Lonchura striata: one gene and its partners. The protein of the gene in region 3 purifies or fractionates together with the protein of the main gene of each other region. This does not show direct contact. Links are inferred from orthologs where the notes say so. Each region holds a gene or a part of one and is shown on either strand. Other genes may lie near its edges.

Evidence for each region.
Region 1: the proteins of RNF7 (region 3) and TULP4 purify together in Homo sapiens (co-immunoprecipitation; 3 studies listed by BioGRID and IntAct, with this or other methods). This does not show direct contact. The link is inferred for Lonchura striata from reciprocal best matches to the Homo sapiens genes RNF7 and TULP4.
Region 2: the proteins of RNF7 (region 3) and ASB6 purify together in Homo sapiens (co-immunoprecipitation; 4 studies listed by BioGRID and IntAct, counting the BioPlex papers as one, with this or other methods). This does not show direct contact. The link is inferred for Lonchura striata from reciprocal best matches to the Homo sapiens genes RNF7 and ASB6.
Region 4: the proteins of RNF7 (region 3) and RAB40C purify together in Homo sapiens (co-immunoprecipitation; 4 studies listed by BioGRID and IntAct, with this or other methods). This does not show direct contact. The link is inferred for Lonchura striata from reciprocal best matches to the Homo sapiens genes RNF7 and RAB40C.

Annotation. Positions count from the first base shown.
Region 1 is NC_134605.1:53,849,088-53,857,122, reverse strand, and holds the start of TULP4 (tubby-related protein 4), read left to right. Parts: upstream 1-4,875; 5' UTR 4,876-4,942; intron 4,943-4,966; exon of another isoform or gene 4,967-5,060; intron 5,061-8,035. UniProt on the Homo sapiens protein: May be a substrate-recognition component of a SCF-like ECS (Elongin-Cullin-SOCS-box protein) E3 ubiquitin ligase complex which mediates the ubiquitination and subsequent proteasomal degradation of target proteins.
Region 2 is NC_134624.1:3,661,394-3,668,868, forward strand, and holds the start of ASB6 (ankyrin repeat and SOCS box protein 6), read right to left. Parts: upstream 3,011-7,475; 5' UTR 2,987-3,010; intron 2,145-2,986; 5' UTR 2,082-2,144; coding exon 1,969-2,081; intron 1,548-1,968; coding exon 1,366-1,547; intron 1,024-1,365; coding exon 917-1,023; intron 614-916; coding exon 505-613; intron 24-504; coding exon 1-23. UniProt on the Homo sapiens protein: Probable substrate-recognition component of a SCF-like ECS (Elongin-Cullin-SOCS-box protein) E3 ubiquitin-protein ligase complex which mediates the ubiquitination and subsequent proteasomal degradation of target proteins.
Region 3 is NC_134612.1:12,595,364-12,602,621, forward strand, and holds the start of RNF7 (RING-box protein 2), read left to right. Parts: upstream 1-4,001; 5' UTR 4,002-4,035; coding exon 4,036-4,213; intron 4,214-7,258. UniProt on the Homo sapiens protein: Catalytic component of multiple cullin-5-RING E3 ubiquitin-protein ligase complexes (ECS complexes), which mediate the ubiquitination and subsequent proteasomal degradation of target proteins.
Region 4 is NC_134618.1:2,658,247-2,665,405, forward strand, and holds the start of RAB40C (ras-related protein Rab-40C), read right to left. Parts: upstream 3,064-7,159; 5' UTR 2,972-3,063; coding exon 2,818-2,971; intron 1-2,817. UniProt on the Homo sapiens protein: RAB40C small GTPase acts as substrate-recognition component of the ECS(RAB40C) E3 ubiquitin ligase complex which mediates the ubiquitination and subsequent proteasomal degradation of target proteins.

The DNA of each region.
Region 1 (8,035 bases), on a different chromosome or scaffold from region 3:
ACCCCTCCACAACTGGACATGGGAGAGAAAAGAGTTCATGGGCTTGAGGTAAGGACAGAGTGAGATCACTCACCAAATACTGTCACAGCCAAATCAGACATGAATTAGAGATATTAATTGAATTTATTACTAAAAAAATCAGAGCAGGATAATGAGAAGTAAAATAAGACTTTAAAAACACCTTTCCCCCCACCCTTCTTTCCTTCCCAGCTCCACCTCCTCCCCCTCAGTGGTGCAGGGAGACAGGGAATAGGGGTTCTGGTCAGTTCATCACCATATGTTTGTGCCACTGCTCAGGGAGAAGAGTCCTCTCCCTGCTCCAGTGTGGGGTCCCTCCCACAGGAGACAGCTCTCCATAAACTTCTCCAGTGTGAGTCCATCCCACAGGCAACAGTCCTCCCCAAACTACGGCAATGTGGGTCACTCTTCCATGTGGTGCAGCACTGCAGGCACAGCCTGCTCCAGCCTGGGTTCCCCACAGGGTTGCAAATTTTACCAGGAATTCTGCTCTAGTGTCAACTTCACTCTGAGGGGCTGCAGGTCTTGTTTTCCCTGTTCAGCTCTTGAAGAAGGTGGGACAAAATATATGTGGAAGGTTGGAGCTGTTTCCACAACAAAAAATGAGGCAGGAGGAAGCTGGAGTGAACAGCCAGGCAACAGGCAACTGTAGGGTTTGGTCAATCCTCCTTCAGCCTGGCTATTCCATGAGCTACGGAGGAAATCCTTGCTCTGTTGGGGAATCTGCCCAGGTAAGCTGACTTGTTTATCTTTTTCTGATGTGTTCCTCTGTGGTGAAGGAAAATTCAGGGTGAGCTACATCAAAAAGAAATGCCTTTTGGAATCAGCTGAGCATACGAAACTAACAAAAATGAGTTAAGTTTATGTGTGGAAGGAATGGATAGATTTGCATGTGAAAAAAGGGAGCAACTTAGCATATGAAACTCTCTAATGCATTAAAAATGGGACAGTCATTCATGCTGTAAATCCAGACAGAGGTGAAGGAGGAAAGTAGAATAATGGAGGCATCTACAAAAGCAGCTTTTGCATTGGAAGACACTTCAGTACCTATTCTAGGTTCTGTGAGGTAGTGTTCTGCAAGGTGAATTCTATGTGCCTTTTTTTTTTTACAACCTATAAAGGAAATTTTTCTGTTTCTTTTAATTTAGGATATTTTGGCAATTCTCTGCTTCCCTTTATTTCCAGAAGGACCAAAAAGCTGGAGTGAAATAAAGACATACCTTAATTTTAGTTTTATGCTTCTTGATTCTATAGCATACGTAGATGAATTGAGCTTGTTGAACTCAAAGGTATTGCTAAGTTTTTAGAACAATCAGACTTGTGTGGATTTAATCACATGCCAATACTAAACACTTTTTTGCTTATCTGCTAATGATTACACCTTAAAGATGCAAGCACTTTTTTGTTCTTGTGTAGAAATAGTTTGTTATTCCATAGTTATCTGGATTTAGTAGATCTGCATCTTAAATGAAACTGTCTTTAGGATGGGATTAGTTATGATGATATAGATATAGCTATAGCTATAGATAGATATAGAATAGAGAATTTATATAGAGAGCTCATCAGTTCTGGGAACACAAAACCCCTGGCATTCACAGTTCTGTTCTTTGCAGTGCTAATGTTGATTGGATTTGGAAGGCAACAAAGTCCTGTGCTTTGTTTTCTGTCCCAAGTATAAGTGACCATGAACAAAGCGAGCTTGTGAAAGGTGAAGAAATCATGAAACCTGAAGTGAAATAGGAAGAAAGTGTCTACAATTAAAAAAGGGTAAGAGAGTATTAATGTTTTACCTGACAAAAATACGAGATGTGCTACTGGGCAGAACAAGGAAGGTAAGCTGAAGATTCTCATGGTTTTTGAAATTAAAAATAAGACATTAAAAAAATTTTGTGCAGTTGCTTGTAGACAAATGGGATTTATCATCTGCCTTCGTGAGGGTCATTATTAGTGTTTTTTAATGGTGTCTGCCTTTAAAAATATAGGAAATGTTACAAGAAAGTCTTTCTGAAGAAGACGCTAGCCTTTGGTTCCTTAGAGGGTTGAGAATATGGGACTAATGGACTACAGAAATGGACAGATACTAAAGTAGCTGCTTCCTCTCACAGCTGGGTAAAATGAAGAAGCATAGGCCTGGTTATGATTGAAACAGAGCTGAGTTCCTTCTGAAAGAAAATGTGTATTTGCCTTTGATCTTAAATTCACAATATTCCAATAACAAAAATTACAAACTTTTCTGTGCTTGACTGATCTTTATTATCCTGTCAAAATGGCTACGTAACTAAGCTTTTCTTTAGGTCAGTAATACCAAGAACTGAGAAGAACCAAAGCAGTCAAACAATCAGAAAACCAAATTAAACAAAAAGAAGTGGGGTTCTTAGGCTTTGCAATAAAATTAATAATGGTGCAGGAGATGATGATTTTAATAACATAATTTTAGGTTTATGTTTCTATTAATTTGTATTGCTGAAGTTGCATTAAATGTTGCAGTTGGATTATTAAAATATTTATACTGTTAGCACCATAATCAAATGAACTGGTACTTTAGGTCAGACTTAGTAGACTGAAGGAGGAAGGGATGAGTGGGTTAGTGAAGGAAAAGGTTGTCTATTTCCTTTGGGTTTTCTATGTTTTGTATATATCTTCAAAAAATATTGTGAAGTGTGAATTAAGTATGCTTTAAAATGCTTCATTATCCTAGAGAAGTACCTTTAGTCATAGTAAAAAAATGTTCAAAAAAGTACAAAGTAGTTTCACAAGCCTGATGAAATACAGTAGCAGTATTTTCCCAAGTGTGATCTCCTCTTGCATTTATAGAGCAACAGTGTCCCATAGGCAAGTTACAAGACCATGTTCTGTTGCTATAAATAGTAGAGATTTTAACTTCTATTTCCACTTTGGAAGATGAAGCTTTGTCACATCTGTAAGGATGTATGGACTTAATCTAAGATTGCTGTAGCTTCCCGTCTGCACATGGAGGAATGCTGTAGTCTGTCCTCAGCATGGAAAAAGATCTTGTTGATTCACAGATGAAAATGATTGTTTAAACCTCTGTTGCAAGGTTTAAACACCTGAAGTATCTGGTTCTAGTTCCTGAGACTCTTTTTGCATCTGTGTAAATTCATTTTTGGAAGACAAATGTGTTATGTTGATAGAGTTAGAAGGAATAAACATCTATGTATTTTCCTTCACTCCTAACACGTACATAACTGGATGTAGAATGGATGGGATTCCTGAAAGGTATTCAGTCCCGGCCATGGTGTGTAGAGGCTGGTGAGCAACTACCAAACAGATTTCTCTTGTGATTATGAACTAGCTGCAACTTCTAATGCAGCTCAGAAAGGACTCCAGGGCAACACTGTTGCCCCACAGTGCCTGGGGTGAAGAGGATGGGATTACAAAGGCAATTAAAGCTGCAGTGGTGTTTTGCAAACCTCTCTGATTTTTTTTTGGGTTTTTTTTTTTTGGTTTTTTTTTTTTTTTTTTTTTTTTGCTTTCCTACCTAAATTTAGTTCTTATGATGGCCAGTAAACTAGGAATTCAGCTAAGACACAGACAGCTGAAGTCAGACAGAATGATTGAGTCAAACCACAAGTGGTTTGAACTATTCTGGCTCCTCACAATTTTCAATTTTTTACTGAAATATATTAAATATAAGCCTACCAGTGGTAGTGATGGCTGCCTTGTGAAGATGTCCAGTGGGCCATTCAGGTCTTCACAGCTCACTTAGTTGATAACAACTCTGTAATGCAACCAGAAATTGACAGCTTTTATTTATTAGCTATAGGATCTTTTAAGAGGTGTCCCGGGGTTTAGCTGTGTATCACAACTGAAAATCTTAAGTAAAAAGCAACTTTTTTCCTAAATGAGAATTTTATTAACAGACAAAATGTATACCCAGCTCTAACACATTATCTCAAGCTTCAATCTTTCAGATTTTTGTACATGTAGCAGGTCATCCGACACAAAGTTTGGCCCCTTCTTGCTATAGGTTGTAAGATAAAATCCTTATAGAGCTCTTGGCAATGGTGTGAAAAATATTTACCTTTTCAGTTTCTGAAATGGTCTGTAAGTTTTGATTACTAAAGCCAGCAGGGGATAGGGCCTTTTCACTTCCTGCTCCTCATGTACTTTTCGTTGGATGGCTTTTCTAGAGCTGATAATTGCAGTTTGTATGAGGTTTCCTTAAACTACTGAGTGCTTCACACCTTTTATGATCAGGCACTTTATTACTCCTTTCTGAAGAAAGTGAATGCGCATTGAATGTGATACCAGAGCACGGAGTTTGCTTTTACCGAGGCTCTCCCAGGTCTTGTAGTGTTGCTATCTCTGGATTGTATCCTGAATTTCCAAGTTTGAAGGATAAAGGCATTCCCTCCGACAAGACACCCCATGACCCATTACTGTAAGCATTATTTTCTGGGAGCAAAGGTTACGCTTAGCATGGAACACTGGTGAGCACAGTTAATTTTCGCTCGCTGTGGCGTCTGGTGCGAGTCAAAAACGCAGGGATACAGCGCTTGTTATTCTTGCGGGGAGGAGTGCGAAGTCCGCGATGGGGCTCGATGCCCCAGAGACTGGCTCCAACATACTTTCCTTCTTTCTCAGCCCTGAAGGCAGGAGGGGCAAGCTCGCTCCCAGCGCTTTGCTGTCACATCACGCCCGCTGTTGCGATCTGGTCTGGCGGGACACAGGCCGTGCTGGCGGCTGTTTCCCCGGTCAGACGAGCTGCTCCAAGGCGCGCCGCGGTGTGTCCCGGCCGCGCCCCGCCGCCCATCCCGGCCCATCCCGGCCCATCCCAGCCCATCCCGGCCCATCCCGGCGCGGCCGCCGGCGGGGGCGGAGCCGGGCCGGGCCGGGCGGCGGTCACGTGGCGGGGTCACGTGGCGGGGAGCCGGGCCCAGCCGCCGCCGCCGCTCCGGGAGCGGTGAGAGACGGAGCCGGGAGGGCGGGCAGGGAAGGAGGGAGGGGAGCAGGGAGCGGGAGGGAGGGAGCCCGCGGGCGCGAGTGGCCGCCGCCCGCTCTGCCGCCGCCGCCGCGCCGAGGTGAGTGCGGGAGGTGGAGCGGGATGGGCCGGGCGCTGCGCGGGGCCGCGGGCGGCTCCGGGGCTGTTTTCCTTTTGTTGCGGTGGGCGCCGGCCGCGGGCACGGCGGTCCCGCTCCCCGGGGGCGGCGGGGTGCCGGCGCGCCGCCGGGACGCGCGCGTCCGCCTGTGCCGCGTCCTTCCCGCCGCGCTTCCCCCGCGCCCGGCGGGCACCGGCCGGGATGAGCCCCGGGAAGGCGGGCGGGAGGCTGCCCGGAGCCCCCGTCCTGCCCGGAGCCCCCGTCCTGCCCGGAGCCCCCGTCCTGCCCGGAGCCCCCGTCCTGCCCGCACACCTGCGGCTTTGGGCCGCGGGGCGGGGGTGGTGCCGCCCTCCCCCGGCGGTCCGGGAGCCCCGGGCGGCGGCGGGGAGGGAAGCGCTGGCTCCGGCATCACCTGTGACTCTCCGTGCACCGCCCGTCGCGCTGCCATTTGTAAATATTGTTGTCTTTTTCTCCTATTTTTTTTTTTTTTTTCCCTTCCCGCTACGTTCCCCCGTGCCCCCGCCTTAGCGGGCCGGGGGTGGCGGGGGGCGCACGGTTCGGAGTCGCGCCCCGCGATGTGCAGAGACCCGCCTCAGGAGCGCAACTCCTTCGCATTCTTTGTGTTGTGTCTTCTCGTCGTGCCTCTCAGTAAGCGTCTGTGCGCGAACGTGTTCCAGCACCTTGGCTTCCTAAAGGTTTCCGAAAAAGTGCAGGAATCGTTTACCAGTTCAGTGCTTAAATTTGACCGAGACATTAGAACAGGCGATTAAAACCAGCTGTATGGGGTGAGATCAAAGGTCTGTCTTGTTTGGATTGCCGTTTCTGCAAGTGGCACATAGCAGATGCTTAGGAAACACCATAACAACAGGGTGAGCGTGCTGTGATTCTTTGGGAAACCAGCCAGGCCTCCAGCAATTTGAGGTTAAGGGATTGCCTGAGTCAAATGTGATGTTTTTGTATTTAAGAGTCCTTTTTTGCCAATGGCTTAGATATATATGTTTTTCGAACAAGAACTAAACAAAGGCTTTTTAATAGAAAATGTTTATCTTAAAAAAAATATAATTGCAGTCATATTATTGTCATAGGTAGTTTCATTTTGCCAGGATTAAATTTGCTTGTCCAAGGATTACTGATTCATGAGCAACATCCTGTGTTTTGAATAGGTAAGGGGTATTTGAAATGGATATTTTCTATACCAGTGAAAACTGTAAATTAAAAAAAATGTTTCTTAATATTTGTTTTTACAAATAATTTGCAAAATTTAAATATTAAAGTAACTGTTTAATAAAATGAAGTCTAGTAAGACCTGTGTCAAAATAGCATAATACAATATTGACAGCTTTGGAGATGATCATATGAAGCCTTAACATTTAACTGTTTATATTTAAGCTTAAAGACTTAAATTGTTGTCTCATTGTGTCAAGATTTCTGGTAAAGTTATGTTGAAGATACCATCACAGATTTGTCCACAATAGCAAAATCATGGTGATCCCCGGGGATGCTAGCTGTCAGCTTGATCCTGTAATCCTAGTTCAAGAAATAGCTTCACGCCAGCAGTTCCTAACCTGATTGCTCTTATAAGGAACATTTGCACGAGTGGGCCTCATTTTTCACAGGCAGTGGGAATGTCAGGCAAAGTAGAGCTATTTCAAAAAACTGCATATTCCCCCACGCCCCCAATGGAATTTTGTAAGAAGGTCATTAGCAGTTTCTTGGGGGCTGAAAGGAGGTAGTGGGTTGATATAGTATATATAGATAGCTATTTATAAGATTAAAAATAGCTCAGAAAACTGACAACTGTAATTGTTATGAATGATTTTCATAGAAAGACAATTAATTTTTTTGTGCGTTGTATCACTGCCTCTGACAACAGACTGGATTTCTTACCTAGTCAACAGGTGTTTATTGTAAAACCCTTAACACATTCATTGTTCTATGTTGAACTATACTGAGCCCACGGTGGACAGTTTAAAATATTCATTATATTTCCTTCAGTAAGGCAATGAATAGATTTAAATGGTTCTGTTGTGAACTTTTACCAAGAAAGCTGTTGTCATGCAGCTGATTCATTTTTATCACAAAAAATTGATTCAGCTGAACTTTCAAATAAAATCAGTTTTGTTTATAGTCTTTATAAAAAGTTGTACTTGTTTTATGTAGTTATTAAGCATACTTATAATACACAGCTTTTAGCATTGCTTTTCATTAGTAGGTCTCAAAGCACCTTGCAAAATAATTCAGTGTAATTATTCTCTTCTTATCTTAGGGTAATTATTATCATGTAATCTAGTGCTCATAAAGAGATCATTGTCTGCTGTGATTGCTATGAGAAGCTCTAATAATAAAATCAGACTTTTTGATTTCATTCTTTTTTTTTACAATAAAACCCCAACAAACTCACCTTTCTGTTTCTGTTGTTCATTTAATGAGGACTGAGGTAGTTTCATACCAGACCTTCTATGCCAGTGTTGGGAGCTAAGCCTATGCTTTATGGAGGACAGACTTCTCTTCCTAATGTCAGAAGAAACCTTGCTGAAAGCTTAACTAAATTCATTGATGAGCTGGAAAATGCTTCAAGACAGTTCCTGTTAAGGTGGTCAGGTACTAATGGTACACATCTCTAGTTCAGTCACCAGGGAGGTTGACTGCTCAGACTTTGATATCTCTTGGTATCTATCAGGATTAAAAAAAAGTGTGTGAATGAGTGAGTTACATGGGCATTATCCTCATATTTTAGGTATTTTGCTTCATTTCTACTATGGTAGAGTTGATGGAAATTGTACAGAATATTTCATTTTTTTGAGTCACTATTTGTATCTCATTTTTGTAATGCATCTCGTGGCAGAACAACTTCTGAAACTAGGGCTGTGAAATACACATCTTTAAGTTATTTTCCAACTGTCTCTATCAGTTGGGATGTGCAGTTGATTATCACTAATTACATTATTAGTGCATTT
Region 2 (7,475 bases), on a different chromosome or scaffold from region 3:
GGCATGCAGCAGTGCTGTCTTCCCTGCAATGGAGCAATCAGTCACAGATGACAGGGTGACACCCCAAAAGGCAGGAAGGAAAACAACCCGCCCCACCCACCAGACAGCCAAACATAGGGAGTGACAACCAGTCTTCTGGCAGAGGCTTCCACTGTCCCCATGATGGTGCCCAGCTGTGGGGACAGTCAAAGACCACACGTGCAGGGCTGATGGAAGCCTCAGTGGGTCTATGTGCCATGGAAGAGTGAGTTTTAGAGCAAGTGCTCTAGGACAACAGAGGAACAGCCCCACCCCACCTCCCGTGGACTGCACAGAGCTAGGTTCAGCCCTTTTCATACAGCCAGCACACCAGGAGAAAATATCGAGTGCAGGGAGGTTCTGCCAGCTTCCTCCCAGCTCCCACACCCGACTGTAAGCAGGGAGCAGGCACAGCAGCAAATGGCCCAGCCCTGTGCCCTGCCCCAGCCCACCCTCAGCTGGGGGAGCCGGGCGGGGCGCACGGACCGTTCTTGTCGGCGGCGTTGACGTCGGCCCCCAGCTGCAGCAGCCGCCGCAGGCACGGCAACCGCTCGGGCTCCTCGCTGGCCAGGTCCAGGGGACTGCTCTCATGGATCTGCAAAACAGTTAAAAACAGTTAAAACACACTGGCAGATGTTGAAGTCTGTGAGTGTCAGCAGGGAGTTGCTGTTGGGGTTTTATCTTGGCCACAGTAAGTTTATCTCTCCAGCCTCCTCCCACACATCGCTCCAAGGCAGGGGCTCAGCCAAAGCCAACATGACCTTCAGGCACAGCACCACGGACAGTGGGCACAGGGATGTGCCAAGGGGAAGCAGCACAAGCAGGAGGGAAGCAGGAGGGCTGTCCCCACACAGCAGAGCAGCTGAGGCCTGGCTGTGCCCAGGCAGCGAGGCCGTACCCGGTCCCTGCGGTTGATGTCGGCGCCGTGGCGCACCAGGAGCTCCACCACGTCCGGCTGGTTGCGCAGCACCGCCATGTGCAGCGGGGTGTAGTAGGTGACTGGGTCTGAGGACAAAAACAGTCAAAGAAAACAAAGGGCTTCCCCAAAACGGCCCCAGTGCCTGCCAGGAGTGGAAGGGGACAGCTGGGGAGGGCCCTGGGAGCACAGTGATGCCTGAGAAAACAGGCACAGGCACCCCAGGTCCTGCTGCTCCAGTGGCTCCATCCTGCCAAAAGCCCCCCTGGTGCTCCTGGGTACACACAAGGCACATCCACACTACTCCAGCAAGGAGCAGGAGTGTCTGAGCTGGCAGCACCCCCTGTTTGTGCCCCAGCTATCCCCACCTGCCAGGGCAGCTTCTCATCTGCCGGTTCCTCCTGGCCCAGCCTCCTTCCCACCAGCCTCACCTTCAAAGCTGAGGTCAGCACCAAATTCCAGGAGGATTTCTGCAGCTGGGACAAGCCCCAGCTCAGTGACCTTCAGCAGGGCATAGCTCACACCTTCCTGATAAAATGGGGAGTGGATCTCCCTCTCCAGGACTCTTCTCACAGCTGAGAGCTGGCTCCTGTCACTGTCCAGGCAGGCAGGGCTTGAGACACACAAAAACCCAGCAGTTACTCAGTGAACACAGCTCAGGTGTGCAAGGGTCAAAGTGGCAGCAGGGAAGAAGGAAAATCCCTGGTCTTCCCTCTGGTCCCATACCCAGTGGGTCTCTGACCCGCTGGTTGTGGGGTTACACAGCAGCCTCAGGGCTGAGCTGAGCCCCAGTTTAGGCTTTGTTGCCAGGGGTCAGGCAGAAAGGGCTGTTCCTGGGGAGCCCCCACAGCTCCTGTGTTTGCCTTGCTGCACCTCCCTGTTCCCAAAGAACAGCAGCAAAATGAAGGTCTGTGGGATGAGCTGCTCGCCAGGACTGGAGGCTGTCCAAGCCAACGCTGTCCAACCTTGGCCACCTCCCTGAGCTCCAACCATCCCCCAGAAACACCCTGGGGTGTTCAGCCCCCCGCTCTTACCTCTCCAGGGAGCTCTGCCCTTCCGTGTCAGGTGTGGCCAGCAGCCCCAGGAGCTCATCCACCAGGGGCTGGTACTCCAGGACGATCCTGCGGAAGCCGTGCAGGAAAGGCATCGTGATCTGCCCCGCCCGGGGCCTCCAGCACGGCACCGCTGTCCTCCAAGGGGCTTCTCCCTCCTTCCAAACAAACGAGGCTTTCAGCAGGTTTGAGCATAGAAGAAAACACAGCCTCCCCCTCCTTACATATAAAGGCAGCGCAGGGATCTCCTCCCACACAGCGATCTGGTGTCTCCAAATGATCTCCTGCGCTCTGCAGTTATCTGGGCACGGCACGGGAACGCCCAGGCGGAGCCAGGACGGGCACAAAGCCCCTGTGCCAGGAGCCAGCCTGGGGGTGCTCCGAGGGGTCTGCAACCAGCAAAGCCCTGCCTGGCTTTTTGGGAGAGGGGCTGGAGCCACCCCAGGGACCGCCCACCCCGCAGATCCCTCCTGGGGTTCAAGCCCAGGAAGCCCCAAAATCCCCGGGCAGCCCATGGCAAGGGATGGGCAGGAGCCCCCAGACCCCAGCAGGAGGAACACGAGACCCTGCACAAAAACCACACATCTTAATTCCCTTATCGCTCTTTACCGAGCTGTAACAGCCCAATTAAAATAAGTTAGTAAAAAACAACACTAATTTTTCTGCTCGTTTTACAATACTCCAAAGCGGGAATATTTTTGTTATTATCAGCACGTACGTGTAAATAAATAAATAAATAAGGGTATGCACCACTCCTGACATACAAATATTTTTAGGTGCATTAAACACACCATCACACCTTTCCCTGAGGAGGCAGATCAGGCTATAGCGGGGGGGGGGGGAAAAAAAAAAAAAACAAACGAGTCCATAAAGCCCGGTTCTTTTTCACAGATAAACACCCACGAATTGCAATGCAACCCCCGCCGAGCAGGGCGGGAGGGAAGGGAGGCCCCGGCAGCGCCCTCCCCGCACGGCTCCCCGCGGCCCGGCCGCCCCTCACCTGCCCGGGCACCGCCACCGGAACCGGAACCGGAACCGGAACCGGAACCGGAACGGGAACGGGACCCGGGGGCGGGGCCTGGCTGGGGGCGTGGCCATTGGGGGCGTGGCCTCGCTCAAGGCGCTGCCTCGTCGAGCGGCATTGCGCATGGGCGTGGCTTTAAAGGGCGTGGCTTCAGTGGGCGTGGCCTCGCACGGGGCGTGGCCGTGGCGGGCGCGGCCAGCAGGGGGCAGCACGCGGCCGCGCGCGGGATGGGGGGGACGGGGGCATCCCCCGGGGTCCCCCCTCTGTCCCCCCCTTTCCCCCCCTCTGTCCCCCCCTTTTCCCCCCATTTCCCCCCCTTTTCCCCCCCTCTGTCCTCCCCTTTCCTCCCTTCTGTCCCTCCCGGGGCGTCCCCTCTCTCACGGGTGTCACGCCCCGCCTATCCCCTTCCTCGGTGTCCTCCCCCGTCCCGGGTGTCCCCCCATCCCGGGTGTCCCCGTTTTCCCCGATGTCCCCCGTCCCTCTGGAGGACCCACCCAGGCCGGGCTGGCTTTGCTGGGAGGTGGCACCCAGTGGCTGCCGCCCCCCCGGGGCTCGGGGTGGCTCCGGTGCCGCTGCCCGCAGCGCCTGGACCCTCCCCTGCTGAAAGAGCTACCAGGGGGAGCATTAGCCCAGGATTTATTGGTACTATTATCATAATCATCATTATTTTTATTATTATTCTGGCGGAATCCGCCAGCGCGGGGAGCTCTGGAGAGCGGCAATAACTGAAGCCGCCTTGGGTTTCCTATTTACGTATTTATTTTATTCCGGTGGAGCGCTTCCAGATTCCAGCAGGCAGCCGTGGCCTCGGGGCAGAAGGGGCGAGGAGGCCGCCCCGGCTGGGCATTTTTCTGACATGCTGTCACGGTCCCCCCTGTTTCCCACCCTTCCTTTCCTCACACAAAGTGGGGTGCCAGGCTGGAGGTCCCCAGTGCTTGCAGCCCCTGGACCCCGTGCCCACCTTCAGGACAGGGCTCTTCGCAGGGTGGCCCCGGTGCCACCAGGATTTGGTGCTGTGCAGTGGCACCTCGATCCTGCACCCCTCCTGCAGCCCAGCAGCCCCCCTGGGTGGGGTTTTGGGGTGTCATCCCCGTGTTTGCCTGAGTAGGGGTGGAAATAACCCCATCCAGCCCAGGCAGGGAGCAGAGGGGGAAAGCAGAAGGGAGAGTGAGGGACGGGGGGGATTTGTCCCTCTGCATAGGGGGGTTCAGCTGGCTTCAAACCAGAGCAGCCTGGCTGGGGGGACCCCATCTGGGGTGGGCTGGGCAGCTGAGACCCTCATTCCAGTCCCAGGTAAAGCCACACCCTGGGCCCTCTGTTCCCAGTAAAGCCCAAAAAGCCACAATCCAAGAAAACCCTGGACCCTCCACAATTCCAGTGGCAGCACGGGACACAAACCCCATCCCTGTCTGTGTGGCACTGGTGGGCACTTTGGGCAGAAATCGCTTCTCCTTTCCTGCTGTTGCTGGGAAAGGAGGGCTGCCAAGGCAGGGTCACCCCAGTGCCACCTCTGCCCCCAGCCATGCTGTCCCTGAGGATGAGAGGGGACACCGAGCTGCCCCAATGTGCATTTTTAGGAGCCCCACAGAGGCTTTTCCCCCAATTTGAAAGGAGCTTTTGGGGACACAGTGTGGGACCAAACCTGGCTCCAAAGCAGCCCTGGGAGGTGACAATCCAGGAGAGCCACGGGCTGAGCCCTTCCCTTGCCAGCAGCACAGCGAGCCCACGCACGTGGGAGTCCTCCCTGCCACGGCCACACCACGGGACACAGCGCAGGGAGATTCCCCAGCCCCACATTTCCTGGGAGCAGAGATTCTGCTGGCAGGGCCGTTCTGGCCGTGCTTGGGCGGGTGTTTAGTGCCTGGCTGGGAGAACAGCACCAGGCTCTGCCCCTTCCTCCCCACGGCCTTGGCGGGGCGGACTCGGAAGAATGCGAGTTGGCCATCCATCAGGGAGACACAGCAACAGCCAGCCGAAGAAAGAGGGGCATTTTAGGAGGAAAGCCAGGGAAATTTGATCATTAAGAAATCCTCCTGGCTGTCTGGGGGAATTTAATTAAATTGCTGGAAAGGGCTGTAAGCACATCTGGATCCAATATGTGCCGCTTTGATTTTTTTCTTTCTTTCTTTCTCTTTTTTTTTTTTTTTTTTTTTTTTTTTTTTTTTTTTTTAGTTCACTCTTTTCCCATCTCGCTGTTGAAGGAGGGGGGGAATAAAAGGGAAATAGCAGAGCCACGGAGTATTGGTTCATCTGGGACTGACTGGGATTCCTGGCAGGGAAAGAAAGAGAGGGAGAGAAAGAAAGAGCAGAAGAGAGGCAGAAAGAGAGGGAATGAGAAAGCTGGGAGAAAAATCTTCAGCAAGGGGCTTGCTGGAGTGTTTTATAATGCCACCAACCACAGAGACAGGGAGCTAGGAGGCAATGGGGGAGCTGTGAGGGCTGCAGGGGAGAGGAGCCAGCGCAGGGCATGCTGTACTTTTGGGGTCTGGCAGAGATGGAGGGAGAAAGAGGAGCTGCTCAGTAAATCCAGAAACACCATTCCTGCTGGGAAGGGCAGGGCTGGGCACGGGGGACTCCCCCAGCAGCTACTCCTGGCTGTCACCCCTGCGGGTGGCACTGCCCTGGCCCCTGCCTGATGCCCCGGGGGCGGAGGGGGTGCTCTGATCCCCAGCCTGGGCAGCACACGGGCCGGGCACACACCCCAGAGCCCTTTCCTGGTCCTGGCCAGGCACTGCCAGGCCCCCGCCATCCCCCACACCCTCCTCTTTCCCACTCCTTACCCCAAGCATCCTCCAGGCAGCAGAGGTGCAACTCCACGGTCAGAAAATCCTTCAGCTGTGGGCGAGCCAGCCCAGCTCTCTGCACCAGAACATCCACAGGGCGAGATTTTGGGAATGTTAGGAGGGAACTCCTGGGTACCACAAGGAGCAGCACCATCCCAGGCAGTGCTCCAAGGAGGCTGCACTGCCCCTGTCCACGGTTTTGGGGTGAGGAGGGGCTGGGGCTGGCAGAGCACATCCAAATCTGTGCCGTGCCGAGCAACACGGAAGCACAAGGTGTTAGTGCAGCGTGAGAGAAATACCAGGAAACCCCAAGGAAACACAAACTGAGATTACCAAACAAATATTATATTTTCAATCTTTTTCTTTCGAGAGGAAGATGAAGGACTGGCAAAGAGAAACACATCCATGCCAAGGGCTGCAAACCTGGCAGGCTCTGGACAGACAGATCCTCACCCTGAGGAGCCCAGCACAGCCCAGCACAGCCCAGCACAGCCCAGCACAGCCCAGCACAGCCCAGCACAGCTCTGAGGGGCCCAGCACAGCTCTTCCAGCTCAGTGCCTCTGCTTCATCACCCAGCAGTTCTGGCCCAGCAAAGCTGGACTCAGAGCTCACACCCAGCTCAGCAAAACCCAGGTGCTGGTGTCAGGTAAAGCAAACCTGCTCAGCTCCGTCTCTGCACCACCCAAAGCTGAGTCACCTTGCCAGCTTCGAAGTCCAGTTTAAAACACAATTTTTACCAAAAAATTAAATGATAAGAGCTTGCACAAGCAGGTTAGGGAACACCAGGAGTGTGTGTCTCAAGCAACCAGGTCTTGCTTGGGATGCCTCGTGTGGCTGGTGGTGTTAAAAAAACGATGCTGAGGAAAAAAAAAAAAAAAAAAAAGGGCAAATCCTACAGCTAAAAAGGAAATTGCATTAATACAGATTGTTTTATTTAAAAAAAGCAAACCCTGACCTCTACTTCAAAAAAGTCATTAGACATTCTCCTTCTGAAAGGCCGACAGGGGATATTATTGAAAGGCCAGTTAATTTCTCAATGACTTACTGTTCTTGCTCTGTTCATGGAAATGTGTAAAGAGTTGGAGGGTAATTTAAGGCACCCTGCAGAAAGGTGTGTAAATCTTTGCATGTCTAAAGAAACTTTACCAGACCACTAAGACTGGGGGAAAAAAGAAAATGCTGGCCCTCTTTTTTTTTCCCTTTTTTTTTTTTTTTTTTTTTTAAACTTTCCTTTGGAACTCTGATCCCCTTTGATCATAAAAAAGGTCATATTTCAACCAAAAAAATATCAGCAATCACAGGGCCCGAGGAAGTGCGAACCCAAGGGGGTTTCACCGACGATTATTCCCTCCATTTAATTATTTAATGCCAAGGACTGAGGGGGAGCTGTCTCCCCTGGAAAAGCCAGACAGTTCAAGAATAAGGTCTGGCCCTAAACAAGGAGGAGGAAGAGGGTTATAAACGGGGGTGGGGCTGCTCCATCCCCCGCTCCTGCCCTCGCCCCTCCATGCGCCAAGACCAGCCACCCCCAAAATAATCCCAGCAGGATGTTCCCAGCTCTGGAGACAAGAGGGGGGTGCTGGGGCATCCCAAGGATGGGGGTCCCCACTGCCCTGCCCCCCTCAGCAGCCAACCAGTGCCCATTGCTGAAGGGTCGGGGCTGACCCTCGAGCGGTTTCTC
Region 3 (7,258 bases):
TGACCTTGCTGAAATGCTTCTAAAATACTATTTATGTTAATAAATGTTTATGATAAATAATAAAATTCATCCACCTTGCTTAACACAATTTTCCATAGAAAATCTTGTATGATCAAGATTTTTCAGTGTTTGAGTCCATTATTATTTTAGCATAATTACTATTGCAAATGCCATGGCAGTTGTATGAAGTCTAGTTAACAATTTCACCAAAGAGGACGTAAATAATTATACCAATTTTAGAAACTTTATTGATCCAAACAATTAGTTTGCTTTAAGGGGCAGTGAATTTGTTCCCCACTTTCATCTTTTATTTTTGGTCATTCCTCGTACACAGGGGGGAAAAAGCCGAGAGGATCATAGAACAGCCAAGTAAACCTACTGTGTGACTTGAATTCAAGACTTAAAGGTAAAAATCTCTTACCTGGTCCCTCTGATTTCTCCAGAGATCTGGGATGTGCTGTGCTTTGTGGTGGCAAAGAGCAGCAGGGACAGGCTGATGTGTGTATCCTGGGCTGCAGAGGCTCCAGAGGGTCACTCGCTGCAGCAGCTGCTGAGAGCTCAGCTGGAGCTCCTGGGTTCAGCTCAGCCCTCGCTGGGACACTGCTGCTGCAGGATACAGAAACGAGCCTGGAAAAAGCAGGGAGCAGAGACAAAATGAGTAAGAAGGAAACTCCCCTTTAAGAATCAAGTGATCCAGAGTAATGCAGTAATACAGACCTGACAATTAGCTGCAGCTTTCATCCACAGACCTTTAAAGTACTCAATGAAAGAAGGGGGAAGTACCTACAATTCAGTCTCCCCATACTGGGTAACAGAAGGCACTATGCTTTGTATAGCAATGCAAATTTGAAAAGTTCCAGAGGAAAGATAGAACATTTTGAAACACAAAACAATGATTTCTGTGACAGCCAAAATAATTAATCTAGTTTTCTCCTGAGTAACTCCAGCTGAGTTCTTCCATTCTGTCATGGTGTGACATTTATAACTGTTTGTTATTATTATTTTTATATATACTTGAATTTTAAATGCATATTTTTGTCACTACCTTGGCCAAAATCTAAAAATAGAAAAGTAGGTCAAGGTAAAAAAAAGTTGTGACATGGTACACAGGATATAACATCTGCAAAGGTGAATAATGAGAAGATAAAGTTCCCCTGTGCAACACCTTCCAGTAATTTAAATATGTGAGTAAAGGGAGTTTCTATAGGCAAGTTACATGGCTTCTCTTGGTAGTGTTTTTATTTTTGTGGTTTTAGGGATTTTTTTGCGGAGCGGAGGTCTGGTGTGGATTGGAGGGCTGGATTTTCTAAGAGTGGCTTTTTTGGGGTCCATCCTGATACTAGGCAGGATCCAAATATCAGGGATTTTAAAAATAGTAAGGCAAACTGTACTACCTCACAAATTTATAGGAAGTGTCCATATTTCAAAATAGATGGGGGCTGTGCCCCTGCACAACAACTGAACAACATCATTTGGTTTCCAGGTTTCAATTCAGAATGCAGGTCCATTCTCAAACAGCTAACTACAGTTAAAATAGGGAAAATTTTATCTTCATAGGTTTTCTAAATTAAAGAATGGATATGAGATAGACATCTAACCTGAAAATCAGCACTGCTCAGAGGTAATAGTAATAGCTGAGTTTTACTCCAGAGTAAAATAATTAGCAAACAAAAACACAGTATAGAATTTCATAAAGCAGTCAGGAGTCTTTGTGTCACTGGTTTTTAATGTCTGCTGCAGAAGGAAAGATGGATGAGCTAGGGTGTTGTGTGAAGAATGGAGAAGTTCCAAGGGTTTAGACTTGATTAAAGCAGCTCAGCAAAGTCAGGATCTCTTTAGTCTCTTGTGACACAGGGTTTTCCATTGAAGCAGAGAGGTTCCTGTGCAGAAGTTAAGGGGATTTTTTTCATAACTTCTGTAAGGATTTCCCTTCTGTGTATTATGTGTCATTAACGTTCTTTTGTTTCACTTGAAGAGTAAAGCACAATGCACTTAAGAATTGGAATTATTGCTACTTCTCAGTCTTTGAGCTCATTCCTGGACTTTTATGAAGTTCATGCCAAATCAAATAGATCTATAGGAATATGGGGATCCCTTTGCTATGCTGTGCAGCAATATATTTGTGTGATTTCTTCCCATCCAGTGAGATCCTCCCAGTGCAAAAGCAGGCAGTTTATTCCACTAATACATTGTTTCCCTAACTCCTATTGTGATTTCTGCGTATTTCTGCATGCCTGCTATATGCTTCTGTTTCATAGAAACTGTACCTGTCAGCATTGAAGTCTGTTTTCCATTTTGGCAATTGCACCTGGCAGATTCAGTAAAGCCTTAGGAGCTGCTACAGGTGGGTTTGTCACAAGCGGTGACAAACTGTTCCCTGTGCTGTCTTCCTCTTGCACCCCCACTGTAGCCAAGTCTCAGCCCTACTGGCCATTAGTAGACCCATGTAGCATATTCCTGTTGGGAAAGAGGCACAGAGAGATGCAGATAACCAGAGTTTAAGAAATAGTTTTGGTAGAGACTTAAGCTTAAATTGTTTTCTTTGGCAGATAAATTGACACGGTCCTCAAGTGTTTTGATATATGTTAATCTATTGACAGAACAAACAGTAAGTGGAATAATACAGTCCAGTACATGCATCAGTTGGCCAAGATAAACACATGCTTACATAACTGTTCTTTGCATTATCATAAAACTGACATTTTTGTCAAGGCTTTGTTTTTAATAAAAATAATTTTCACAGAATCATAGAATCACTAGGTTGGAAGAGACCTTCAAGATCATTGAGTCCAACCCATGCCCTAACACCTAAACTAAACCATGGCACTGAGAGCCACATCCAGTCTTTTTTAAACACATCCAGGAATGGTGGCTCCACCACCTTGTGGCTGCAGGGGATAGGTGAGTTACAGACTGCCAGAACTACTTCTCAAAAACGGCTTGGAATTTTTCTTACACAGCTCTTTAGCTGATAAAATAGCAAGAAAATAATTTTTAGGTAGGAAGCTATCACTTATTTCTCTAAGGCAGTATGGAGAGAGTCAAAGTGCCTGTGTCATATTTGCTCTACTTTCACAGCTAATGTAAATGGAGTTTATATTTGACTTTGCATCGTGTACAGCACATGTATGATGGTTTGACAGCACTCAAACACAATTATAATATCTGACATAATTTGCCCTTAGAATCTTAGAACTGAAGAATTGCATCATTTAGGGATACAAGGCAAATTGTATAAATCTAAAAGCCCCAAAACTCCAACAGAATTTTTTTCCCTTTTTTTAAAATCTCTGTTTAGAGGTAGTTGACATTTTACACAGCAGAAATGAAATGTACTTAATTTTTAAAAAAATATTTTAAACTTTCTGGATTACATCTAGTCCTAGTAATTGAAATCAGAAATGCCCTGATGGTTTTTAAAATGGACAGAAAAGAATGATGAGATAAAGGAGTGGAGCTGGCAAAGGGAATTGAACAGTGTGGATCGAGAGAAGTGTGATTCAGCCAGGCTAAAAGGCTTTATTAACATGCTGCTTAACAGTGTTCAAGGTGCTTCTGAATTGATAGTTGAGTAATGTGCAAACATGCAATCTTTAATACAATTTTTATTTTTTACTTTCTTACGAAGGTGGCCAAGGTGCACGCCACCGCAGAGGTGTTTCACTTGTTCTGTCAGCAGTCCTAGGAAACGTGTTGCGTTGGACGACTGGGTCTTCTCCCCCACACTCCCGGCAGCCCGGACCAAGGGTGAGGTCGGGATTGCTGCACTTGCGCTCTGCGAAGGAGAACATCCTTCGTCAGCAATGCCAGCCTGGCACTGCGGGTGTCCCGGTGGAACGCCAGCGGTGCCCGAGGGCTCCGAGGGCTCCGAGGGCTCCGAGGGCTCCGAGGGCTCTGAGGGCTCTGAGGGCTCTGAGGGCTCCGAGGGCTCCTCGCCCCGCGGGCCCGGCCCGCGCCGCCGCCGCCGTGCCGCTCCCGCCGCCGCCGGAGGGTGGCGCTGCCGCCCGCGCGGCCGCCGGTCCCCGCCCCTCCGCCATGGCCGATGTGGAGGACGGGGACGAGCCCGGCGCCCCCCACTCGCTGCCGGGCTCCGCGGGCTCCAAGGCGGGCGCCCCCGACAAGATGTTCTCGCTGAAGAAGTGGAATGCGGTGGCCATGTGGAGCTGGGACGTGGAGTGCGACACCTGCGCCATTTGCCGGGTGCAGGTCATGGGTAAGCGGCGGCCGGGCCGCCATGGCCGCGGGCGGGGGGCCGGGGCCGGGCCTGGGGCCGTGCCTGCCGCCCCGGGCACGGCGGGCGCCGGGCACAGACGCGGTTTCCGGCAGAAGGGGGGGCTGATCCCTCCCGCCTCCGCTTCCTCCTCCGCGCCTTCCCGGAGGAGGAGGAGGAGGGCCCCGCGGGGGCCGGGCCGCTGCGCTGCGGGGCCACAGGCGGCCCTGTCGGGCAGCGAGAGCCCCCCGGCCCGGCCCTGCCCGGCCCTGCCCGGCCCGGCCCTGCCCTGCCCGGCCCGGCCCTGCCCTGCCCTGCCCGGCCGAGCCCTGCCCTGCCCGGCCCGGCTCTGCCCGGCCCTGCCCTGCCCGGCCCTGCCCTGCCCTGCCCTGCCCGGCTCTGCCCTGCCCTGCCCTGCCCGGCCCTGCCCTGCCCGGCCCGGCTCTGCCCTGCCCGGCCCTGCCCGGCCCGGCTCTGCCCGGCCCGGCCCTGCCCGGCCGAGCCCTGCCCTGCCCGGCCCGGCCCTGCCCGGCCGGGCCGCGCCGTGACCCGTGCGGTGCCGGCTTCGTCATGAGGGCAAATCCGCAAGCACGGACTTAGAGCCCAGCTGAAGCCAGTGCTGCATGCGTGGGGCTGCTCTTTATGGGGTGGGTTTTGTTAAGGGTTTTTTTTTTTCTACGAAGCAGTTACAGATGTACGTAAAAATTGATTTTTCAAATCTGTTAAACCAGGGTGTCAGACTCTACTTCGCAAGCGTGATTGCTGGTGCAGTTTAACACACACAAATGTACTGAGAAATTTAGTGAGTAAGGGGTTAATTTACTTGGTTTTGAAACCCAGAGACTGTTTGAAAGCACCTTCATTGTTAACTCATATTACTGTTTTCTGACATCTTTGTCAAATATGAGATTTATCTTAGTTCTTCAAAAGCGGTTTAAATTCTTCCTTTACTGTGTGTGCAGGTCCAGCTTTTACAATTATTTTGGACTGAGTCATCCTAGGTGTAGCTGTCCTCGCAGTTGGGTCTGCAGCACGTCGGCAGGACAAATGACCCAAAGTTCCCGCCAGAGCACCTAGTTTTTGTAGGGCCAGGAACCCTGATACTGAAAATGAAATCAGCATTTGGTTTAACATAAATGAGGCAAAATATACCATTCTGTCATTTCTCCTAAATAATTTTGCTGGGAACTTTCTCTGGAACAGAGGAGGCAGAAGGGTGTACAAGTAAACAGAGACCACTCTGGAAATATGAAATTGTCTTCATTTGCCATTTAAACCATAATTTTAAAAATGCATTTGTCCCCATTGTAAGCTAGGCTGTTACAGAACACTATAAAAAAAGTCTTAAATTAAAATCTTACCCAGAGCTATTATAAAAGTTTAAAAAAAAAAAGTCTTAATTTTTTAATTGCTAGACCAAGGGAGTACTTTTAATCTGAAACTAGAAAAAAAAATCTGAAAAAAACTAGTAACCGTTTTTTGGGAACAAACCACATTGTTAGAATGTGAAATTTGATGATTACTGACTTCAGTTTAGCAGTTCTGTGTTGACCCTGCCAGAGCGGGTCTGGCTCCTGTAGAGCCACTGCGTCTGCAGTAACCTTAGGTGGGGGCAGTGCCAGACTGAGACTGGCACTTGTTGAAGGTTAGTTTGACTTTTGCAGGGAAGGAGGTGTTAGCTGGCTCCATTTTCTGCTGGTTTAACTCGTTCACCCAAGGTAGTTTTAGATGCACAAGAGAAAGGGACAAAAATGCAGGTGTTAGCTGGGAAGCACAGGATTGCAGCTGGACTGGCTTTGCTGTCCTTAGCCTTTCAGACTGACCCCCATCTGTGGGGTTATGATGTGGGAGTGGGGACAGGTTACTTTGGTGTGGTGGCAGTGATTTCTGTCCTTGGCTCTCTGTGCTGCTTCTGTCTGAAGCTGCAACTCTAGGGCTCAATAGGGCAGCTGATTTATTGTGAGTTTCTGCTGTGACCCTGGATCAGGGGGCTCCCACACACCATGATACGAGTTGAAGCACTTTGGCTGAATCCTCCCAGCACCTTAGCCCCTAACTGGTGTTGAAATACGAATTTTAGGGACAGACAACACAAAAGTTTTGCTTTTGTCTCAATGAAGAAAGGGCAGCTGTTTTAGAGTTCTCTCTTCTTTGTTCTCTATTACCTGAGAAAAGGAGGAATGTCTAGGCAGTTCAACCTAATATACAAATACTGGCCTTATCTGGCAGAGACTGCAAAAATACTCAAATCTAAATTCCTGTAGCACATTAGAGTTTTGTCTTTTGGGAGAATATGGTCCAGCCAGTGACATGTAAGCCAGATTCAACCGGCAGGACACTTGTTTAAGTGTCCACATTTCTTTGGAAGAGATAAAGATGTGTTTGCTCACATAACAGTTGAACATTTTCTGTTGTGCATGATCCGTGCACGTGTGTCTGTGGCAGCCCAAGTTGGGGCAAAGGAGAAGCAAAGGTACTTTTCCACTGCATTGTGTGGCACAGTGGGAAGCCTGGAAGTTGTCACTCTTGTATCTTATTGAGTCCTGGAGCTGCCATCCAATCTTAAAGCCACAGACTGGAGTGAATAAAGATGATAAATATTTTTAATTAGATATTGTTCTGTATTTATTAACATATATTATCAAATGTACCACTATATTTGTATGTGTGTGACTCCTGTGAAAATTAGATGCAGGTACTTGTCAAGGGAGGCTACTATAAAGAGTAATAGGTGGTGGGAGTTGTGGTGAGAGATGCACAGCCTAGAAAAATCAAAATTGTGAATGACTTCCTTAAAAGGAAATGCTGACATCTGAAAAACAAAGTCCTGTAATTAGGGTTTGGCTTTGTGCTTGCTCTGGTCTTAATATGCCTGAGTGCCTTGGCACAAATCTGCGGGCTTTCGTATCTACAAAATGGAGAAGGCTTTTTTTCAGCAAAAGTTATGAAAATACCAAAGCAATGGAAAATAAACAAAACACGCTGGAAAGTTCAGAGTCCTTCTGATCTCTTTCAGATATATATTTCATTGTCATTTGCACAGTTTTA
Region 4 (7,159 bases), on a different chromosome or scaffold from region 3:
CAGCCACAGGACAGAAACAACACTCCCTGCTCTTCACAGGGAGTATGCTTGTCTGATGCTCCTGGAGGCTGATATACTCCATAGATCCAGCACGAACCTGGTAAGGAACACACAAGTGAAACTGGACGTCAATTTTCTCCTCAAAATGCCACCTTTTTGTCACTAGAAGTCCCATACTCAGTGCCCTCACAGCTTGGTGCAGCAATGGTCAGGGCATCGCTCACACCTCCTCCTGCACCAGGGGAACAATCACCTCTGTTCCCACAGAGCAGGTTTATTTTGCCAGCAATTTAAAGAAAGGTCTTGCTATGCACTACAGGAACTGCAGGGGCTAATATAAGATGTGCCAAATTTAGAACGAGGTGCCAAGCTCCCAGGCTGTGCTGAGAAGTGACACTGCTGTTCAGGGATTCTGGAACAGGATGGACAGAAGCACCAATGGTGCTGTATGGCAGACACAGCTCCCGCTGCATCCCAGGCTCTCCGATACTGGACAGGAGCAGGCAGAGGCTGCTTACTGCACCTAAAATCCAGCAGGAAAAGGGCTTTTCATCTCTCAGCTGTGTGCTGATCCAACATCCAGATGCCCATGGAGCAGAGAGGAATCCCTCAATCCCTTTCTAATAGGCTGGGTAAGAGCAGCTAAAATACAGAGCTACATTTAGAGAGCTTCACTTCTAAGGGTGTGCCTTCCCCGAGCTGGAAGGACAATCCCTTCCACGCTGCATCACAAAACCTGGCTGCTTACAACTGTTTCCACACAACAGAGTAACAGCAGCACACCCCAACCAAGACAGAGAAAGCAAATGCTCTCTCTCCCCTTCCTGACAAGGTCTAGGACTTGAGCTCCACACAAGATGTTCCCATCACAAGAGCAGCCCAAAGCACACACAGGTTATGCTTTCTGCACTGACCAAAATAGTGGTAATGACACAACACTCATTTTAAAATTGGGCTGTGGGATCTGGGAGGGGATGAGGACGACGACAACGTGCTTACAAGTAGATTTACAAATAGAACCTCCATGTAACATTCCAGCATTGGTGTTTTGGGAAGGCATTAGGTACGTGTGAAAGAGGATGCCAGGCTCGAGCTGTTCCCAAAATCCAAGAGCCTTTGCTCAGGGGATGGTCTCTGTCAGGGCAGGGGAGCAGCATGCCCTGTCAGCACGTCCCAGCTGTGCCGGAGGCACAGGGAGTTCCACTGCCAAAGCTGTCAGCAGCATCAGCAGGATGAAATTCACTTGGATATCAAAACCACTCCAGCTGATTATCCTAAAGGTGCTTCACTTCCCAGACTCAACAGAATCAGAGACTATCAGAGCACGTATTACTGTGAAACAACAGTATGTGACCTAATTCTCTAACTAGGAATGGGCTCAATTGCTCATGGAGGACAAGGGAAGGTTCTGAAATTATTCACTGAGATTTCTTTTTCCAACAAAAAGATGCTGGTATTTAGCTGCTACAAAACAGTGGGTTCTGAGACAAAAGGTCTATAGTCATAGCCAAAATCTCTGTTCTTTGGGTCTCATGCCTATACCAAAGACCCCACTTAACTCACTCCTTATTCCTACCCTGTCTGCTTCAAACTCACTTCAATCAGGAGACAATTCCAACTGTAACACTTCACTTAAAACAGCCACCCCTCTACACTCTGCATAGTAAAGACCAAACCTATAGAGCAGTTCGACAGCTCCCAGGTGAGGCAGGTTCTCCAGAAACACAAACTCTCTTCAGAGAAGCTCTGAAGTGCCCAGCACCTACTCAAAGGCAAACCACACCAGTCCAGCCAGACACCCGAGGAGATGAACGATAGCAAAGCCTTTTCCTTCTTGAAGCGCTGCTCCCATTTCACAGGCAGCTCCACTTCTGAGTCACCACCTCCCCGTAAATCTCTGTGGAGCAGGTGTGCACTTACATCAGCTCCTGGGGAGCTGGTGGTGGCTCCCAGGACCGAGCGTGGTCGGAGCCACACCACTCTGCATGCTCCAAATTTGGCCAGGGCAGAGCACCAAGGAGCCCCCGATTCCCTCGGGTTCCTGATACAGGCAAAACTCAGCACTACCTGCTCCTGCCCTGGGCTGCAGCGGTGATGCAGGGTCTGAGCCCTCGGGGATGTTACCGGGCACGGAGGAGAGGGACGGATGACAGATTGAAACCCACAGGGGGACCCGCACCCCGCCAGGCCGTGCTACACCGTAACTGCAGGAAATGCACAGCGCTACTCCTTGGCTCTTAATTACGGTCTTGCGATACCGTAGTTAATGGTCTGTCATGGGCTCCATTAGGAACCTCGACGCTGGCAGGAGGTGGATCAGCCAACCCGGCCGCTCCCGGTACAGCCACCGAGCCAGAGCGCCGCTGGGCTGGGAATCAGGCTCCAGTTCTTTTGTTACAGCTCCTGCTTCCTCTGGGAACGGCTCGGTCCTTGTGGCAGCCGGGGAGAGGGAGGCGAGCCTTGCCCTGCGAGCGGGACCGCTGGGGAAGGGTCCGGCTGCGCATCCAGGGATTACATCACACACCAGCCCCTCTGCCCACAGTCTCCTCCAGATTTCGGGCATTTCAAGGAGCTGAGGAGGCCTCTGAGCTGCCTGCCACGCGCTGAGCTCCCAGTTAATGAAAAAAAAAAAAAAAACCAAAAAAAAAAACAAAGGCAAAAGCAAAACAACCCCTCCCTGCCCGCCAGCTCGGCGCTGGGGTGCCGGCCTCGGGGTCCCCGCGAGATGCGGGTGACAGCGATGGCGGGGGGAGGTGACAGCGGCAGGGCTGTGACAGCGATGTGGGTCCTGCGGCCCGGCCCCCCGGCCCCTCTTACCGTTGCTGTAGGCGTAGGGGGACTCGGAGGCGCCGTCCTGCAGGCTCTCCAGGATCTCCCCCTTCCCCACGTCGCTGTCGCCGACCAGCAGGAACTTGAGCAGGTAATCGTAGCTCTTCACCGGGCTGCCCTGGGTGCCCATCCTGCTTCTCATCGGCGGGGCGGCCCGGCCCGCATCCTCCGCCCGCCAGCCTCGGGCTGCGGCCTCTGCCCCGCCGCCGCTCACCGCCGGCCGCGCATCTTCCGCCGGGGCCGCGCTGGGACCTGCGGCGGAGGAGGAGGTGGAGGAGGAGGAGAAGGCGGAGGAAGGGCCCGACCCGGCCCGGCCCCGCAGCGCCCCCGCCGCTGACACGGCTGCGCTCCGCCCTCCCACTCGCACAAAGCGCCGCCGCCCCGCCGGGCCCCGAGCCCGCTCCGCCCCGCCGGGCCGCAGCACCGCACCAGGGCAGCGCCAGGTCCCGCCACCCACCTCAGCCGGGCAGGGCCGCCCCCGCCTCACGGACCCAACGCGTCCGCCCGAGCCCGGGAGGCGCCTCGGGCCCGCTCTCGCCGCTCCCATAGGCTAAAGTGTGCGTCAATCAGAGACAGCCCCGCCTCCTCCGCAAATCCGCCGCGCCCATAGGCTTAGTTGCATGTCAATCAGGTGCGCCCCGCCCCGACGCGCCCCTGAGAAGGCCAGCGGACGGCTGGGGACTACAGCTCCCGGCGTGCCTTGCGGGAAGTGGGGCATGATGGGATGGCGAGTCGGGCGGGGGAGCACCCGCCGTGGGGAGAAGCACCCGGGACCGGGGACCGGGATAGGGGAACTGGGATTGGGGAACTGGAACTGGGATTGGGGACCGGGATTGGGGACCGCGACTGGGGAACTGGGACTGGGGACCGGGATTGCAGAACTGGGATTGGGGACCGGGACTGGGGAACTGGGATTGGGGAACTGGGATTGGGGACTGGGACTGGGGACCGGGACTGGGGACAGGGACTGGGGACAGGGACTGGGGAACTGGGATTGGGGACCGGGATAGGGGTACTGGGATTGGGAACTGGGATTGGGGACCGGGATTGGGGACCAGGATGGGGGACCGGGATTGCAGAACTGGGACCGGGACTGGGGAACTGGGATTGGGGACCGGGATTGGGGAACTGGGACTGGGGTCCTGGACTGGGGACCGGGGTTGGGGAACATCCGTGTGTGTGGGGCACCCAGGGATCATCCGGGATTGGGGGGGCATCCAGATATGAGCTAAGCATCCAGATGGGAGGCGCACATCGATGGGGCACTTCCAGATGTGTGGGGCACCCAAGAAGAGGCAGCACCCAGGACTCGGGGACATCCAGATGTGAGAGATGTCCAGGTGGGTGGGTACGTGGGAGGTAGGGAGGGAGGGCATACAGGAGTCCTCCTCTAGATCTGGGGTGGGCATCCAGAAAGAGGGCCACCTACAGTTTGGGGGCATCCAGGTGGGTGATCATCCATTTCATGGCAGGCAGCGGGTTCTTGGGTAGGGAAGTGTGTGCACTCCATTGTTGGTGGGGCAGGGGGCAGCCATGGTGACATCCAGCATGTCCCCAGGGAATGGGGACAGCAGTGGGGCTGTGGGTGCCAGGCTGAGCCTGTAGCCAGGACTCCTGGATGCTCTCACTGGAATCCCTTGGCATTGGTGTGACATCGCTGAGGAACCGCTCCCAAACCCAGTCGCAGGGGATTCCCAATGGGAAGGTGTGGAGGATCCCTGCTGTCATTGCTGACAAATAAATCCCTGTGCTGAACAAAGCATCTTGCTCATCTTTCCAGAGCTAGGCACTCCATCCATGTTCCCAGCTTCCAGCTTCCAGTGAATCCCGTTTCAGTGAGCCACGTTCCCCAGCCCTGCCAGCACCACAGATGTCCCTCAGCCTGCAAAGATCCTGCGGGATCCTCCTTGGGGAACTCTGCTGGCTGGGAAGCAGGGCAGGGTCACTCATGGATGGAGAAGGGAGGGAATGGATTAAAGTGGGATGTTTTTATAGAGTCACAGAATGGTTTGTGCTGGAGGGGACCTCAAAGACCACCCATCCCACCCCTACCATGGGCAGGGACACCTTCCACCATCCCAGGCTGCTCCAATCCGGCCTTGGACACAACCAGGGATCCAGGGGCAGCCACAGCTGCTCTGGGCACCCTGTGCCAGGGCCTGCCCACCCTCCCAGGGAACAATTCCCAATTCCCAATATCCCATCCATCCCTGCCCTCTGGCAGTGGGAGCCATTCCCTGTGTCCTGTCCCTCCATCCCTTGTCCCCAGTCCCTCTCCAGCTTTCCCGGAGCCCCTTCAGGCCCTGGAAGGGGCTCTAAGGTGTGCCTGCTGCCTTCTCTTCTGCAGGTGAGCACCCCCAGCTCTCCCAGCCTGGCTCCAGAGCAGAGAGGTTCCAGCCCTTGGGACATCTCCGTGGGCTCCCTGGACTTGCTCCAGAGTTGCCCCCTCCACACTCACAGGGAGGGGGGTCTGGCCCCTCTTTGGTGGTCTCAGCCTGGCTCCCTCTCCCACAGCCTGAGAGCTCGAGCTCCTGTGCTGCCCTGGAGCCACAAGCTGTGATCCCTTTAGGGGCCTCTTCTGGTGAGGGGTTTGTGTCCTATGGGCCAAGGGGATCCTCATCCTCAGCTGCTCAGTTTGGCTTCTGCACTGGCAGGGGCCAAACACAGCCCCCCTGTGTGCCCTCTCCCAGCTCCCATGGCTGCTCCCAAAGCACAGAGGGCACTGACAGAGGAAAACAAAACAGCGGCTAAAGCAAACCCAAAGAGCACCTAAAGCAAACCCAAAGAGCAGCTAAAACAAACCCAAAGAGCACCTAAAGCAAACCCAAAGAGCACCTAAAGCAAACCCAAAGAGCAGATGTCCTCCTGCAGCCACTGCATTCCCGGGGCAGAGGGGCTTGGAGGTAAAGCCTGTGGGGAAACATCCACTCCAGGGCACAGGCTGGTGAGCAGGGCAGGGGAAGGGAGAGGGGCGACCTGGGGATGTTTGTTTTGCCCAGGAGGGGAGAAAAGCCTCATTTCTGTCCAACAGTCCAATGGATCCAAAGCAGTGCAAGTGGACAGGAGGAGGATGGGCAGGAATCTCCTCAATTTTATCTCTCAGCCTCTGGGTCTCAGTCCTGCCACTCCACAGGGCCAGCCAAAGTCCTGTTCATGGCTCGCTCATTCCAGGGATTTCTTGTCTTTGGTGGGATAGTGAAACCAGTGCCCAGACAGGTGGGAATTGTAGTGAGAGGGGCAATCCTGGTAGAGGCTCCTGGCAGAGGGGTGAGCTTGGCAGGGGCTTGCTGCAATGTGGGAAATCAGCCACAGCCGTGCATTCAGCTGGAAAAGGGCAAAGGAGAAAGGAATGGAATTCAAGGGAGTGACTGCTCTGCTGTGAGGAGGGAAGGAGTGGCCAGAAGGACTCATCATTCCCAGGCTCAGCTTGGGCTCCTGCTCGGATTGTGCTGTGCTGCAGGGGCTTGTCCCCTGTCCTGCCCCTCACACTGAGCACGCCACATGGGCAGGCTCATGTGACACCAAGGAACCCCCCTCTGGATCACAGGGGCACCCAGAGCTGGAGGAGCATCACTCCAACCATCTCCCAGGCTTGAGGTGGCATTCATTGACTCCTCCTTGCACAAGCTTTGTGGTTTGGCCTTGGCAGAACAATTACAGCTGGATAAATGCTGAAATACCCGTGTGTGAGAGCAGAGGTTTGGGAACTGCCCAGCCAGGCTGTGGGATGGGGATGAACTGGATCAGCTGAGCCTCTAGCAGCCACCCTGCCCCATCCCTGTGCTGCTGACAGCCACACTGTGCTCAGCAGCAAGTCAAACTAGAGGTATGGGCTGGATTTTCCTCCTATCATCTTTATTCTGGAGTAATCAAAATCAATTTAAGTTTTGATTAAAAGGTTGAATTAACCAATAAAACCTGTAATTAGAACAAAGCTCTCCATCTCTGAACTTGCACACAAGCACTGGAATGAATGTGCAGCATCCCTCATCCCTGCTGCAACTGGCTTTGCTGGCATTGTCACTGCTCTTCCCAGCACTCCTGCCTGCAGCACTGGAGCTGTGATGAGCCTGAAGCCAGTGTGGTTCCTGAGCAGGGCTTGTTCCTGGACTGGTGCATGGGACTGGCCTGTGTTTCACATCACCAACCTGTGTTTCACATCAGGGCTGCAGTGGGAAGGAAGTCACCTTCAGCTGGGGCTACTGGTGACATTTAAAACAAACACTGTGTCACTGTGTGGGAGCACTTTGCTCCTGCTGAACGCCTGGTGGCTCACGTGAGGGACGGAGAAATGCACAGTAGGTTTTAACTTCCTTGCCAAACCTCACTC